2 linked regions of the Struthio camelus genome follow. The protein of the gene in region 1 purifies or fractionates together with the protein of each later gene. This does not show direct contact. Links are inferred from orthologs where the notes say so. Each region holds a gene or a part of one and is shown in the gene's direction. Other genes may lie near its edges.

Region 1 (7,593 bases):
CGTGCTACTGATACACTCTGGGAAGAGTCAGACTCAGTGTTATAGCAAGAGCAGCTCTATGGATCTTCAGCGGCTATCTGGCTGAGCTGCACAGATATACAGCTGCGCAAACTGCCAAATTTCAGAAACCCAGGAAAACCAGGTCAAAAGCAGGAGGTGAGACTACTGTAACTAATAGAAATCTACTAAACAGCCACATCAGGGAAGCTGACAGGCCTGCATTTATAGTGAAAAAAGTGAAGAGGTTGTCTTCTATCTGAACATCAAGGTCGGACACAAACACTCTGTGCTTACTGTTTTCTTTCACATATGCATAATTCAAAGAACCACAAGCTCTAAATTCCACTTCACCTACCTTTTTCATACCGCACTCATGTGAGTTCTGAATACAGAAAATATACCTATACCTAATAGGTTACATAAATTATGACTGGGAAAAAAAGCTCTAATATTAATAAAACTATCTGTGTGATTGTTTCTTTGGGAAGAACAAAAGATTTAAAAAACAGGCTTTAAAGAATCTGTGTGTTACGTTTGTACATAAAGCCGTAGACTATTTGAGTAGCCTTTCACAGTACCGGAAGGAAAGCAGCACAGGAATCCTTTCAGTTAGAATATTAAGAATCCTCTTTCGTGCAGATTAATAGTTCTGAGACTAAATAAGTGGGTAGTGGGTGGAAAATGTATTTCTACTAATTGAAAGAAGACTGAAGTCAAAACATGTTATTTTGTTCAATAGTTGTTCTTGATAAAAAGAAAGCAGGTAAGAATAATCATAGCATAACCATTTAGAAAGGCACCATTATTTACAAACAACAGTATTTTAATCTTGCTTGTTTGTAGTTACTGTTAATATTTTCTAAGATTCGGATAACTGCCTTGAAAAGCCACCTAATAGCAGCACTTTTTGTTTTATATACTCAAATACTCAGTCCCAAATATTGTCAAGCATCTTTAAGAAGCAGATATCTCTCCAGTTTGTTTGTATTTACAGTATTTAGCCCCTGAAGCAGAGGCTGCAGAAGGGAAGGAATGCTAACTCTTGATTTATTGTTTCAGTAAGGATACAAATGAAGCTCAAATTACAGAGAATTCAAATAAGTAATTCTTAGTATTTACAGTGCATGATAATGCAAGAAAGCCAAGGCTTAATCTGGTGGTACAAATTTCAGGCTGCATTAGTTATTCTAAAATAAAATCACTCATTTTTCTTTATCAAAACCAGTATGACAGTACAGGCCTTACTAGCAGTGACACAAACTTGAGCATTTTTATTGTCCATGAATAAAAATGGAACTTGCATTAGTTACAAATTTCAATTTGCCTGTGTGTTAAAAGAGGAAATATTCTGCCAAAGCAAACTCATTGTTCAGTTTTATGGTTTCTTTACATTTACACTCGTGTACAACGTCTTTGCTCTCTGTAAGTTACGTTCCAGGATTCCAGAAGTGGTGGCTCGACCCACCACCAGCAAAAGGAGAATATCGCTTTCTCCTAGTGATTCCTGCTCTTTACCTTGCTCCAGTCTGGGGCACATCAGACCCAATATAAGCTGATTTAACTAGAGGGTATTTTGCTGGCCCAGAGGGTTAAATCAGCTCAGGAAAGAGTCTGACACATGCCACAGCCAGTGCAATGAAAGAAGGACTGTCTCTATTTATTACAGATGGAGCCAAGGGAGATTAGCTGGCTAATTTAGCCGGTTAAGTCAAATACCTAAAGTTGGATCGTGTGAACACCTCTCAATTTATCTCTACAGCTATTTCTGGCAAGCTAATACTTCTTGTTAGCTACAACTCCTAGTTGGAATCATGTGGCACGCTTCAGTTAGCAGACCAGACTTCCCCAAGGACAGGTGGATGAGCTGATAATGGTGTATTCTGAGCGTTGGAGAAAGACTTGCTCTGCTATTTGCGTGGAAAAAAAAATGCTGCCTGTACTCTGTTTCTTTTATCACCAAATGCCCCAGCATTTTTAGTTATAAGAGAAAATATAGCACTTAAGTATACTCTTTAAGTTATTATGCACACAATCGTCAAAAGTATATTTGACGGCTTTAAAGTATTCCTTAATGTAGCTAAGTTCCTCCACTAAAGAACTATTACTTCTTAAGAGTTATACCCTTACTTTGGTGTTAAATCCTGAAAAGTGATGTCCAGACTTATTTTGAATGGCGCTAGTGGTCAGTACAACTAAGATTTAAAAATCTCCCCGAAGAGTGACAAAAAGAGAAGAAAAGCCATCCAGCTTTGCATTAAAACTCCAGTAACAGCAGTATTCGATAGTTCAAGTTAAGAAAGAACTTTTAATGTCATAATATAGTTTAAAATTAGGTAGAAGAAACAATTTTAGCAGTTCAGTATGCAGTCAAAGAAGATACTTTCTTCAATTGTCAGACTGTGCAAAGAAATCAAATTGTCTTTGTGAGAGCGCAAGTACTCAGCCTCCTCATTCTTAGGTATCACTTTTGTCCTGGGTAATCCAACCAGGCTTTAATGAAAGCAAACAGTATAACGTACATAAAGCAATCAGTGCAGCTAAGTACATCACACTTCTTACTAGTTTCTGACCTCTAAATGCAAAGGACAAAACATAGGTTTATTAGGTTTCCTATCTCCTTCAAAAACATCATTCTAACTTGCATAATCGTGAGAGTAAGGAAACCAACCAAATTTGGATTCCACCAAACTTTATCTAAAATCTCTGTTGGTTTAGCAATGTCAATAACAGACAATGCGGGTGTGCATTCATGCTATTGCAGCTGCCAAAGTTCAAAAAGTTTGCAATGAAGTATTACATTTTCTCATTGCCAGGAAAGTAACCGCTAAAACAAAACTGCCATAAAATTTGGCAATGCAAAAATTCTTCAAGTTGGAAATCAGTTTACTCTGTGAATCTCTAACTCGTATTCACACTTGTAGAGTAACATATTTCACTCTAGGAATCATAGAGATATAATTAGGAAACCCAGTCCTGGAAATGTTTGTAGCTGACTTTTCGGAAAGACAAACTTTCTCCATTTAGATTTTAGAGTGACCAAGTTATATTTGCAGACTTGAAGACTGGAGAATATTTTCAATCAGGTAAGACCGGTCCTTGTAAAATAATTCTCCAAGTTCACATTGGTCTCCATAAAAAACCTGACAGGCTGTCTTTTACTCACAATCCTGACCCTGAGCTCTCTTATACTTAATTTATCGTAGTCTTTCTCACATACTTTTTGGAAAAGTAAATTTCCCTCTTATTTCTCTTATAATATTTGATCAGTGGAGCAGCAGCCTCTGAAGTAAAACTAATGTAACCGCAGATCATAGAAGAAAGCTTCATGGATTATTTTTAAATAGCTTTTTAAATGATTACTCTTGAACTAGAATCTTGGCCGCATTAAGAAGAACCCAAGGATAACCATTACTCACTGTAATACAGAGGCTCCTTTCTAAGGCTATAAACTTTAATCATCGGTAAAGGCACTGCACTGAGTTTTGAAGCCGGAAAACTAACTGGCCCGCTGTATAACTAAAGATGATGAGCTTAATTTTTCCGAAAGAAAATTTTAGCAACGTGCGGATAGACTAACTTGAACGCTTGTCAAGTTATTCAATACACTGGCCTTACCTTTTATACTGAACATCTCAGATCAATAGTTTTCAAACACATTCCTCTGCAGGTACAGAGTTCATTACATCATTGGTGGCCAGGTATTTTTTTTTTTTTTTAATCTTCTTGGCAAGCTAATGTTGAACACGACAAAACGGGTGCCCGGCACGCGAAAGCTAGGGCAGGCTTGCACAGGAAAGCAAGGGGGAACTTGTACGGGCGCTTCAGGCAGCGGACCAACCTACAAAACGTAGTCGGTTACATGTGATCACTTGTGAACCCTCATTGCTTAAGAACGTCCAATTTTTCAACGGCAGTACGCTTCCGGCTTTGCACGCAGTGTTTGTTCTTCCTTTTAAAAATTCGTATGCCTGAAAAATATTCATAGTCTCCCACCTCCTCCCAGCCTTGACCCGACGGCGCAGGCAACGCGGACCTCTCCCCTGTCAGGCCCAGCCCTCACACGCTGCTCTTAGACCAGTCGGCCTCCGGTGGGGGAGGGGCGGGGCGGGGGGCGGGGCGGTAACGGCCCTTCCCCTCCGCCGCGCCCCACCCGCGGCGGCAGGGGGTGCCGCCCCGCCCCCGCGCACTACCACTCCCGGCATGCCCCGCGGCTCGCCCCGCCCAGCATCCCGCCGGCCTTTGCGGGCGGCGGGAGCAGGCCCCAGGAGCCGGTGCCCCAGCCGCCGCTGAGGGGTGGGGACGCCCCGCCTCTGCCGGGCACGGCGGGTCACAGCCGGCGCTGTTGCCGCTTCTCTGCCGCACGGTTTAACGTCGCTCTCCGCGTGCTCCCCTGTCCCCCCCCACCCGCCCGCCTGCCGCCTCGGTACCTCGGGGTGCGGCGGGCCGCAACGACCGGAAGCGCTCGTTGCCATAGCGACTGTCTCTACGGTAAACATTCCGGGTGCCCCCGGAAGCGGTTGGCGTCGCTCTGCCCATGTGGAGATTTTTCTTCTCGCTCCTCAAGTGCGGCCGCGCTCGCTGCGAGCCACGTGGCCTCGGTGTTAAACATTTATGGCTTCTTCATTAAAAAATTATGCTGGAAGGCCATGCGGCCTAGACCCGTCCGTGGACATGATTGGCCAAACGCACCTCCCCCCCAGCCAATCGGGGCCGGCCACGCTCTGCCCGCAGGAAACCGCACATGGAAAGCCGCGATTGGCGGCGCTGGCGCCGGGCCCCACCTTCCCAGCCTGACCATTGGCTGCGTGTTTGGCGTGGTACGCTCTGATTGGCCAGTCCGGGAGAGCCTTTCCCCCCACCCCTGGGCGCCCCGCATTGATAAGGCGAAGGGGGAGGGCCGCGGCCGTCCCAGCGGTTCAGCGGCGCGGGGTGGCGGCGTCTGCGTGCGGTGGCGGCGGGCTCGTGAGCGCGAGTCAGGTGTCGCCCGGGGCTGTGCTCTTCTGCGGCCGCAAACCCGCGTCGCCATGAAGCCGGTGTGGGGGCTCGCTCTCGCGTGCACTCTGCTCCTGGCTGGTGAGTCCCGTGGCTGCTTCCTCGCCTATCGCCTTCTAGAAGCTTCTGCCGAGCGGCGGTTATGGGGGGGGGGGGAAGTCTCCCCCGGTGGCAGCTCCCGCTCCCCTTTCCTTGCTAGGGGAGAAGGAGTGGGCGGAGGCCGACGGGGACCCGGGTGGGGCCGTTGGAGCCCTGTCGGCGTAGAGGGTCCCTTTGCTTCAGCGGTCGCTGTCCCAGCGCCTTCCCCCGCAGGTGTAACAGAGGGGAGGGCGAAGTCGTGCTTGTTCTTGTGTCCTGCTCTCTCCTGAGCTGCTGTTGGCCTCCCCTAGGGAAGGAGGTGGTTGGGGGCAGGGGAAGGTACGCGCGGGACTGCTCATGCGCTGTTGGGGGGGGGGGGTCCAATCCCTTTCCTCCCTTTCTGATGCCCCTGAGTGGGGTAAGCTTCCCCCAGGGATGGGTGGAAGAATGGACAGACCTGAGTCTGAAAATTTTTGTGACTGGTGAAGAAGAGTTCTCTAGTGGTGTGGAATGGGATTCTGGTCCATCTTGTTGGAATTCTTGCTTTTCCAGTGTCAGTTAGAGCTGATGAAGTGGATGTGGATGGGACCGTAGAAGATGACTTGGGTAAAAGCAGAGAAGGATCTCGAACAGACGATGAAGTTGTTCAGAGGTTGGTAGCTGGAAGCGTGGATTAGTTACTTCTGAACTGTTAAGGCTATTCTAATTATTTTAAGGGTCAGTTTTTATACCACTAATGCCCAAAGTATAAAAGGTGGTTTTGGGGCGGGGGGGGGAGATAACCCTTCAAAGATATGGTTTCATTAAGCTGGAGAAATTTAGTCAGGTAGAGGAACAGTAGAGTAATATCTATTTCTGAAACTGCTCCTCTCTTATGAGTAGAGAAGAGTCTGAGGTAACTGTGTTCAGAAATACTTTGTGTAATAGCAGTAGTGGCATAAGAGCAGGTCAACAGGGGTTTTTTCTTGCATGTAACTGCACGTGGTAAACAATATGAGTTCCATGCCTACCGATGGCATAGGTTTGTTTGTTTTTTTTAACTGTGAAACACTTAATCTTCTGTAAAGTGTACTGTGTGCTGAGAGTTACAGTGATTGTAAAATGCCTGTATTCTTCCTTGTGTTTTTTATAAAAGAAAGTCTGATTTGCGAGCAGGATTTTTCACTTGAGTCTTAACTTGGGTTGGGGTTAAGCAGTAGAGGATGGCTACTGTTGCACGTATCTGATGTGGGCATTTAACTTTATGCCAGCTGTTTTGGTAATTCAGGGTCTCATTGGTGATGTGACATTGAAGTCTGTTGCTAGACTGGAAAAAGAGTGGTACTGTATATGAACAAGTTTTCCATTGTTTTCACAGAGAGGAAGAAGCTATCCAGCTAGATGGCCTGAACGCATCCCAGATAAAAGAAATCAGAGAAAAATCTGAGAAGTTTGCATTTCAAGCAGAAGTTAACAGAATGATGAAACTTATTATCAATTCTTTATATAAAAACAAGGAGGTTAGTGCTTTTGTCAGGAGAACATCCTAGGACCATTTGTGTGTGTGTGTGTGTGTTTTTGAGTCCTTGACTACTGATTTCTATTTCAGATTTTCCTGAGGGAACTTATTTCAAATGCTTCTGATGCTTTAGACAAGATAAGGTTAATATCCTTAACTGATGAGAATGCTCTTGCTGGTAATGAGGAACTTACTGTCAAAATCAAGGTAAGAAGCATGAGATAACCGTTTTATCTGATCCACTGAGGGGCAGTAGAAGGAATAAAAGGAGGTAGTACCTCATTAAATTATAAGTTTATTGCTTAATACTGATGCAAACACAAACTATGAGCGCTACATCCAGGACACTTGCAGTTTGCTTCACCAAAGATTGCTGCTTTTTTTAGTCTACTGAAAATATGTCTCTGATTTCATAAAAAGTAGTTGAAGTACTGAAGTACCTCAAAGGCAGGTTTTCCTTACTCCTCTACTTACTGTCAGTTCAATTTATCACAGCCAGGCAAGTTTAACTTGAATGATTAGCTGCTAGTCTCCTTATCACTCTTTCACAGTGGTGTATTGCGCCTAAAGGTGTGCAAAGGGACGTCCAATAGAATCTTTTCTCTCTTTTCAGTGTGACAAAGAGAAGAACATGCTTCATGTTACGGATACGGGTATTGGCATGACAAAAGAGGAACTGATTAAAAACTTGGGTACCATTGCAAAGTCTGGTACAAGTGAATTCTTAAACAAGATGACTGAAATGCAGGATGATAGCCAGTCAACATCTGAGTTAATCGGCCAGTTTGGTGTTGGCTTTTATTCTGCTTTCTTAGTAGCAGACAGAGTTATTGTCACATCAAAACACAATAATGATACGCAACATATTTGGGAGTCAGACTCAAATGAGTTCTCTGTGATTGATGACCCAAGGGGAAACACTTTAGGACGTGGCACAACTATAAGGTAAGTGTTAAGTCTGTTTTCTTAGATTTAAAAAATAGTTGTGTATATATAGAGAGATATGTAGCCTTGTTGGAATACTT
Region 2 (7,324 bases), on another chromosome or scaffold:
TGAGCAGGGGGTGGAGGTGGCCGCAGGCGGGCGGCAGCCCCAGCGCCGCGAAGTTGTAGGCCTTGAAGGGCCGCTGCCGCCAGGAGCCCCTGCGGGGGGGGGGGGGGGTGCAGCAGCAGGGCTCGAGGCGGGGGGGCCCACGGGTGCCCCCCAGGGTGAGGGGGTCCGCGGAGCCCCCCCCCTGCGGCACTCACGTGGCGATCATCTCCGGCGTCAGCTCCGTCTCCTGGCGGGCCACGGCCGTGCTGAAGGCGCTGCCCTTGCGCAGCCAGTAGGACTTGAGGGTGCTGGGGGTGGCGGGCGGGGTGGGGGGGTCAGCGGGGGTCTATGTGTGTGTCCCCCCCCCACCCCGGCCCCCCCCCGCTCACACTTCCAGCAGCAGCTTCCTCTTCTTGAGCTCGGCGCGGTCGCGCTCGGGCAGGCTGGCGGCCTCCCCCCGCTGCACCCGCCGCAGGCTGTCCCGCACGGCGTCCTGCACCGCCGCCACCTGCGGGGACGGGACCCCGCCGGGGGGGGGGACACGCGGGACGGGGCGCCGTCATGGGGTGGGGGGGGAGCCCGGGGCAGAGCCTCTTGGTGCGAGGACGGGGGGGGGTGACAGACTGCAAGACGGGCTGAGGGATTTTGAGGACCAGGGAGATGCTGCAAGGAGGACAGGGACCCTCGGGGACGGGGACAGCCCTGGGATGGGGGACACGCGGGGACGGGGACAGCCCTGGGATGGGGGACACGTGGGGACGGGGACCCTCGGGGACGGGGACAGCCCTGGGATGGGGGACACGTGGGGACGGGGACAGCCCCGGGATGGGGGACACGTGGGGACGGGGACCCTCGGGGACGGGGACAGCCCCGGGATGGGGAACATGCGGGGACGGGGACAGCCCCGGGATGGGGGACACGTGGGGACAGGGACCCTCGGGGACGGGGACAGCCCCGGGATGGGGGACCCTCGGGGACGGGGACAGCCCCGGGATGGGGGACACGCGGGGACGGGGACCCTCGGGGACGGGGACAGCCCTGGGATGGGGGACACGTGGGGACGGGGACAGCCCCGGGATGGGGGACACGTGGGGACGGGGACCCTCGGGGACGGGGACAGCCCCGGGATGGGGGACACGTGGGGACGGGGACCCTCGGGGACGGGGACAGCCCCGGGATGGGGGACACGTGGGGACGGGGACCCTCGGGGACGGGGACAGCCCCGGGATGGGGGACACGTGGGGACGGGGACCCTCGGGGACGGGGACAGCCCCGGGATGGGGGACACGTGGGGACGGGGACCCTCGGGGACGGGGACAGCCCCGGGATGGGGGACACGTGGGGACGGGGACAGCCCCGGGATGGGGGACACGTGGGGACGGGGACCCTCGGGGACGGGGACAGCCCCGGGATGGGGAACATGCGGGGACGGGGACAGCCCCGGGATGGGGGACACGTGGGGACAGGGACCCTCGGGGACGGGGACAGCCCCGGGATGGGGGACCCTCGGGGACGGGGACCCTCGGGGACGGGGACAGCCCCGGGACGGGGGACCCGCGGGGACGGGGACAGCCCCGGGACGGCAGTGGGGGACCCTCGGGGACGAGGAGAGGGGACCCTTGGGATGGGCTCAGCCAGGGGACCCTCGGGACCAGGAACAGCCAGGGACGGGGGACCCTCAGGGACAGCCCTGGGATGGTGACAGGGGACCCCTGGGGATGGGGGGGCGCTCAGGGACGGGGACAGCTCCGGGACCGGGGACCCTTGGGGACAGGCTCAGCCTAGGGACAGCAACAGGATGGGGACAGCGACCCTCAGGGACAGGCACAGCCCTGGGACAGTGACGGGGGACCCCTGGGGACAGGGGAGCTGCAGAACAGCTCGCTCCAGGGACAGGGGACCCTCAGGGACAGGGGACCCGCAGAACAGCTAGCTCCAGGGACACAGGACCCTCGGGGACAGTGACAGGGGACCCTCGGGGACAGGGGACCCGCAGAACAGCTAGCTCCAGGGACACAGGACCCTCGGGGACAGTGACAGGGGACCCTCGGGGACAGGGGACCCGCAGAACAGCTTGCTCCAGGGACAGAGGACCCTCGGGGACAGTGACAGGGGACCCTCGGGGACAGGGGACCCACAGAACAGCTAGCTCCAGGGACAGAGGACCCTCGGGGACAGTGACAGGGGACCCTTGGGGACAGGGGACCTGCAGAACAGCTCGCTCCAGGGACAGAGGACCCTCGGGGACAGTGACAGGAGACCCTCGGGGACAGGGGACCCTCGGGGGCAGGCTCAGCCTGGGGATGAAGGACCCTCAGGGACAGGCTCAGCCTGAGCGTGGGGACACAGCACCCTCGGGGACAGGGGACCCTGGGGAAGGGCTCAGTCCAGGGATGGAGGACCCTCAGAGACGGTGACAGGGGATCCCTGGGGTCAGCAGACCCCCGGGGACGGGCTCAGCCTTGGGGACGGGGGATGGGGGCCCTCAGGGACAGGGGACCCCCGGGGACAGGCTCAGCCTTAGGGACGGGGGCCCTCGAGGACAGGGGACCCCCGGGGACAGGCTCAGCCTTGGGGACGGGGGACGGGGGCCCTCGGGGACAGGGAGACCCCCGGGGACGGGCTCAGCCTTGGGGACAGGGGACGGGGGCCCTCGGGGACAGGGAGACCCCCGGGGACGGGCTCAGCCTTGGGGACAGGGGCCCTCGGGGACAGGGAGACCCCCGGGGACGGGCTCAGCCTTGGGGACAGGGGCCCTCGGGGACAGGGAGACCCCCGGGGACGGGCTCAGCCTCGGGGACGGGGGACCCCCGGGGACAGGGGACCCCCGGGGACGGGCTCAGCCTTGGGGACGGGGGACCCCCGGGGACAGGGAGACCCCCCCCCACCACTCCCCTCTCCCCCCCCTTCCCCAAACTCACGGCGCGGAAGACGCGGGGGCCGCCGGGCGCCTCCTTGTCCAGCCGCACCCACTTGTTGGCCATGGCCTTGCTGAAGCCCACCTTGGCGCCGGGCAGCTTCTGCGGGCGGCAGCGGCCGGCTGCAGCCCGGGGTCCGCCGGGCCCCCCCCCGCGGGCCCCCCCCCCCGGTGCCGGTGCTCACCATGAGCTCGCTGTGCGGCAGCCCCTCGCCGGGCAGGCTCTCGAAGACGCGCACCTCGTGGCTGCCGTCCCGCGCCACCGCCTCGCCCTCGGCGCTCAGCTCCCAGCGGGTGGCGGCCCGCGGCTCCGCCTCGATCACCTGCGGCGGCACCGGGCGGCCCTGAGCGGCGGCGGCGGCACCGCCACCGCCGCCGCTACCGGCCGCCCTTACCGCCGCCGCACCTCGCCCAGCGCCTGGAGACTCTTGACGGCGCCCACCAGCGTCTGGTGGTCGAGGCCGAGCTCGGCGGCCGCCTCCAGGCTGCAGAGACCCCCGCCCGGCCCGGGCCCCGGCGCCTCCCGCTCCAGCCGCCGCAGCAGCAGCTCGGCCACACCGGGCGACATGGCGGCGCCCGCCGGAAGGACTCCCTCCGCGCGACCCGGAAGTGCTCCTGAGGGGGAAAGGGGGCGTGCCCGGTGTGGGCGTGCCCGCTGACCTGCTCAGCGCCGCCATCTTGAGAGTGGCGCGGGCGCCATCTTGAGTGTGGCAAGAAGCCCCGAAGCGGCCGATGCGGGGAGGGGGAAGGGGCTGCTGGCGATAGGAAGGCAGCCGAGTGCCGCGGCCGAGTGACGTGTTCGGACGTCAGCGTGACGTCATCAGGCACTAGGCCCAGCCCCCCTCCCCAGCAACCAGCCTCACCCACAGTTTGCTGCACTGAAGTCAGTTGCTGTAACGGCAGGCTTATTCCCCACCCTATGACCGTTGCCATAGCAACATGCCTGGGTTCCCCCCCCGACCTTGATCCCCCTCTCCCCCTTCCTGCTGCTATTATGGGATGGCGAGCGCCTGCTCCCACGTGCTCCGCAGCAGCCTGGCCCTTTAAGAGCGTCCGGGCCCCACGTGACCCCGAGAGCGAGCGACGCAGCGCGCGGAGGGAGGGCAGGAGCGCGGGGGGAGGGGGGGGCGTCTCCCCCCGAACGCGTGGTCGCTCCTCATTGGCCCCCGCGCTCAGCCAATGGGAAGCGGCCATCTGGGACGCCAACGTTCGGGGGAGCCGCCGAAGCCGGCGAGCGGGCGAGGGGCCAATGGGAGCGAGCCCCTCACGAGCTCGGGCCAATGGGGAGCGGGCAGGGGCGGGCCCAGCTGCCGCGGCCATATAAATGCGGGCGTCGCCGCCGCCCCCCTCCGCAGTGTCTGGGTGCCGCCGGGCCGGGCAGGGCCGAATGTCTTAAAGGGCCAGGCGCCTCCGCCGCACTGTGTGGGACCCCCGGCGACATGAGCCCCCTGGGTCTCCCCCTTCTGCTCGGCGCCCTCCTGGGGCTGGTGGCGGCGGGGCCCACCCAGTACTTCCGGGAGGAGTTCGGGGATGGAGGTGAGGGGGGAGCCCCACCGCTGGGGGTGGGGGGCCCTAGGCAGGATGTGGGGCTGCGTCTGAAGGGCCCCAGGCGTCTTCTCTGGGCTGGGGGGGGGCTGCGATGGGGGTCGGGGGGAGAGGGGATGTCTTGGGGTGTCATGAGGGCCTAGGGGCTCATGGGGGGGGCTGCCGGGTTGGGTTGGGGGTCCTGGGGCAGCTGTGGGGCCTGCGAGGTCTTCCCCTGGCCTAGGGGTACAGGAGGGATGCGGGGGGCTGTAGGCCTGGTCTGGGGGTCTTGGGGTAGGTGCAGGGCCTGAGGGGTCTGTCCTCAGCTGGGGCTGGGAGGGGTGAGGGTCTGAGGAAGGCTGTAGGGGTCTTTTGGGGGCTGAGTCTACCTTGAGGTAGGGTTGGGGGTGCTGGGGAAGGGGGGACCTGAGAGGTCTTTTGAGGGCTTGGGGTGGGAGGGATGAGGGTCACAGGATGGATATAGGGAGCTGAGAGGCCTGGTCTGGGCATGAGGGTCGTGGGAAGGACATCTGTGTCTGCCCTGAGCTAGGGCTGGGGGTCCTGGGGAAGGAGTGAGGGGCTGCAAGGTGTCTGGGAAGGGATGGAGGCCTTGTGGGGGGCCTAAGGCCTCCCTGGGGCTGGGGGTCCTGGGGAAGGAGTGAGGGGCTGCAAGGTGTCTGGGAAGGGCTGGAGGCCTTGGTGGGGGGGGGGGGGCCTAAGGCCTCCCTGGGGCTGGGGGTCCTGGGGAAGGAGTGAGGGGCTGCAAGGTGTCTGGGAAGGGCTGGAGGCCTTGGTGGGGGGGGGGGGCCTAAGGCCTCCCTGGGGCTGGGGGTCCTGGGGAAGGAGTGAGGGGCTGCAAGGTGTCTGGGAAGGGCTGGAGGCCTTGGTGGGGGGCCTAAGGCCTCCCTGGGGCTGGGGGTCCTGGGGAAGGAGTGAGGGGCTGCAAGGTGTCTGGGAAGGGCTGGAGGCCTTGGTGGGGGGCCTAAGGCCTCCCTGGGGCTGGGGGTCCTGGGGAAGGAGTGAGGGGCTGCAAGGTGTCTGGGAAGGGCTGGAGGCCTTGGTGGGGGGCCTAAGGCCTCCCTGGGGCTGGGGGTCCTGGGGAAGGAGTGAGGGGCTGCAAGGTGTCTGGGAAGGGCTGGAGGCCTTGGTGGGGGGCCTAAGGCCTCCCTGGGGCTGGGGGTCCTGGGGAAGGAGTGAGGGGCTGCAAGGTGTCTGGGAAGGGCTGGAGGCCTTGGTGGGGGGCCTAAGGCCTCCCTGGGGCTGGGGGTCCTGGGGAAGGAGTGAGGGGCTGCAAGGTGTCTGGGAAGGGCTGGAGGCCTTGGTGGGGGGCCTAAGGCCTCCCTGGGGCTGGGGGTCCTGGGGAAGGAGTGAGGGGCTGCAAGGTGTCTGGGAAGGGCTGGAGGCCTTGATGGGGGGGGCCTAAGGCCTCCCTGGGGCTGGGGGTCCTGGGGAAGGAGTGAGGGGCTGCAAGGTGTCTGGGAAGGGATGGAGGCCTTGGTGGGGGGGGCCTAAGGCCTCCCTGGGGCTGGGGGTCCTGGGGAAGGAGTGAGGGGCTGCAAGGTGTCTGGGAAGGGCTGGAGGCCTTGATGGGGGGCCTAAGGCCTCCCTGGGGCTGGGGGTCCTGGGGAAGGAGTGAGGGGCTGCAAGGTGTCTGGGAAGGGCTGGAGGCCTTGGTGGGGGGGGCATAAGGCTCCCTGGGCCTGGGGGTCCTGGGGAAGGAGTGAGGGGCTGCAAGGTGTCTGGGAAGGGCTGGAGGCCTTGGTGGGGGGGGGCATAAGGCTCCCTGGGCCTGGGGGTCCTGGGGAAGACACCGGAGCCTGAGAGGCCTCTGGGAAGGGGTAAGGCTTTGGGGGGGCTGCGGGGGCTGTGAGGCCTCCCCTAGAGCTGGGGGGAACAAAAGGCCTTTGGATGGGGCTGTTGAGGGCAGAGCTGTCCCCTTCTCCCCCCACCCCGGAGCCGGAGGGGGGGGACAGCAGGGCTTTCGGTGGGATGTTCCCCCACAGGGTGGGGGGGAGGCAGGACAGGAGCTGGCTCCCGTTGTGGTTTATCGGCCCCGAGTCCTGCTGCGGCGGCGGCGGCGCTGCGACAGCCGAGCCCACCCCACCGCGGAGACCTTCCCCGGCAGCTCCGGCCTCCCGCCAGGGCGCCGGGGAGGGGGACGCAGGGGGCCGTCACGGGTGCTGCCGTGCCTCACGGGCGCAGGTGGGCGGCCTGTATCGAAGGGCTCCTCCGGAGTGTGACGGATCCCGGCCGGGCCGTGCAGGTGGCAGGAAGCCGGCCTGTTCCCCGTTCAGCTCTAGGGGCGCGTTCAATCCCCGGCCGCTGCGGGCAGAGCGCCGGGCCGGAGGGGACGCGGGGACGAGCCCGGCGCCGAGGCCCGTTCCCCCCGCCCCGGTCTCCCCGAGCGGGGTTGGAGCCGTCCTGCTTCCCTCTTCCCTCCGCGAACGCTGCCTAGCCCTGAAGCCGCCGCGTTTCGGCTGCCCGGCTCCACCGCGGAGGCGGCTGCCTCCACAGCGACCCTTCCCTGGGTGGGGGGGAGCCCTCGGTGCCGAGGGAGACCCCCCCCGGCAGCGGCCAGCGCTCGGTCGGGTTTCGGCTCTTACGGGCTGTTCCCGCCTTTAGGGGGAAACCCGGGGTCACGCGGGGCCGCGCCGAGCGCGGGCCGGCGCCTCCCTGACCCTCTGCCCTCTCCGCAGATGCCTGGAGCAGCCGGTGGGTGGAATCCAAGCACAAGTCGGACTACGGCAAGTTCATCCTCACGGCCGGCAAGTTCTACGGCGACGCCGAGAAGGATAAAGGTGAGGTGCCGGCTGCTGGCCGGCCTCCCCGGAGATAAGGACCTTTCCCTCCGCCTGTCGCTCAAGGGTAGTTAATGCTTAACGAGCTTGGTGGGTCCGTGGGAGC

What was found.
Region 2: the proteins of HSP90B1 (region 1) and CALR fractionate together in Homo sapiens (co-fractionation; 4 studies listed by BioGRID, with this or other methods). This does not show direct contact. The link is inferred for Struthio camelus from reciprocal best matches to the Homo sapiens genes HSP90B1 and CALR.

What each region holds. Positions count from the first base shown.
Region 1 is NC_090942.1:62,746,295-62,753,887, reverse strand, and holds the start of HSP90B1 (endoplasmin), read left to right. Parts: upstream 1-4,532; 5' UTR 4,533-4,646; coding exon 4,647-5,073; intron 5,074-5,622; coding exon 5,623-5,722; intron 5,723-6,427; coding exon 6,428-6,569; intron 6,570-6,658; coding exon 6,659-6,775; intron 6,776-7,181; coding exon 7,182-7,513; intron 7,514-7,593.
Region 2 is NC_090972.1:4,290,664-4,297,987, forward strand, and holds the start of CALR (calreticulin), read left to right. Parts: upstream 1-4,235; 5' UTR 4,236-4,335; coding exon 4,336-4,432; intron 4,433-7,116; coding exon 7,117-7,218; intron 7,219-7,324. Other genes in the region: FARSA (phenylalanine--tRNA ligase alpha subunit), read right to left, coding at 1-89, 195-287, 369-487, 2,901-2,999, 3,082-3,219, 3,303-3,464. UniProt on the Homo sapiens protein: Calcium-binding chaperone that promotes folding, oligomeric assembly and quality control in the endoplasmic reticulum (ER) via the calreticulin/calnexin cycle.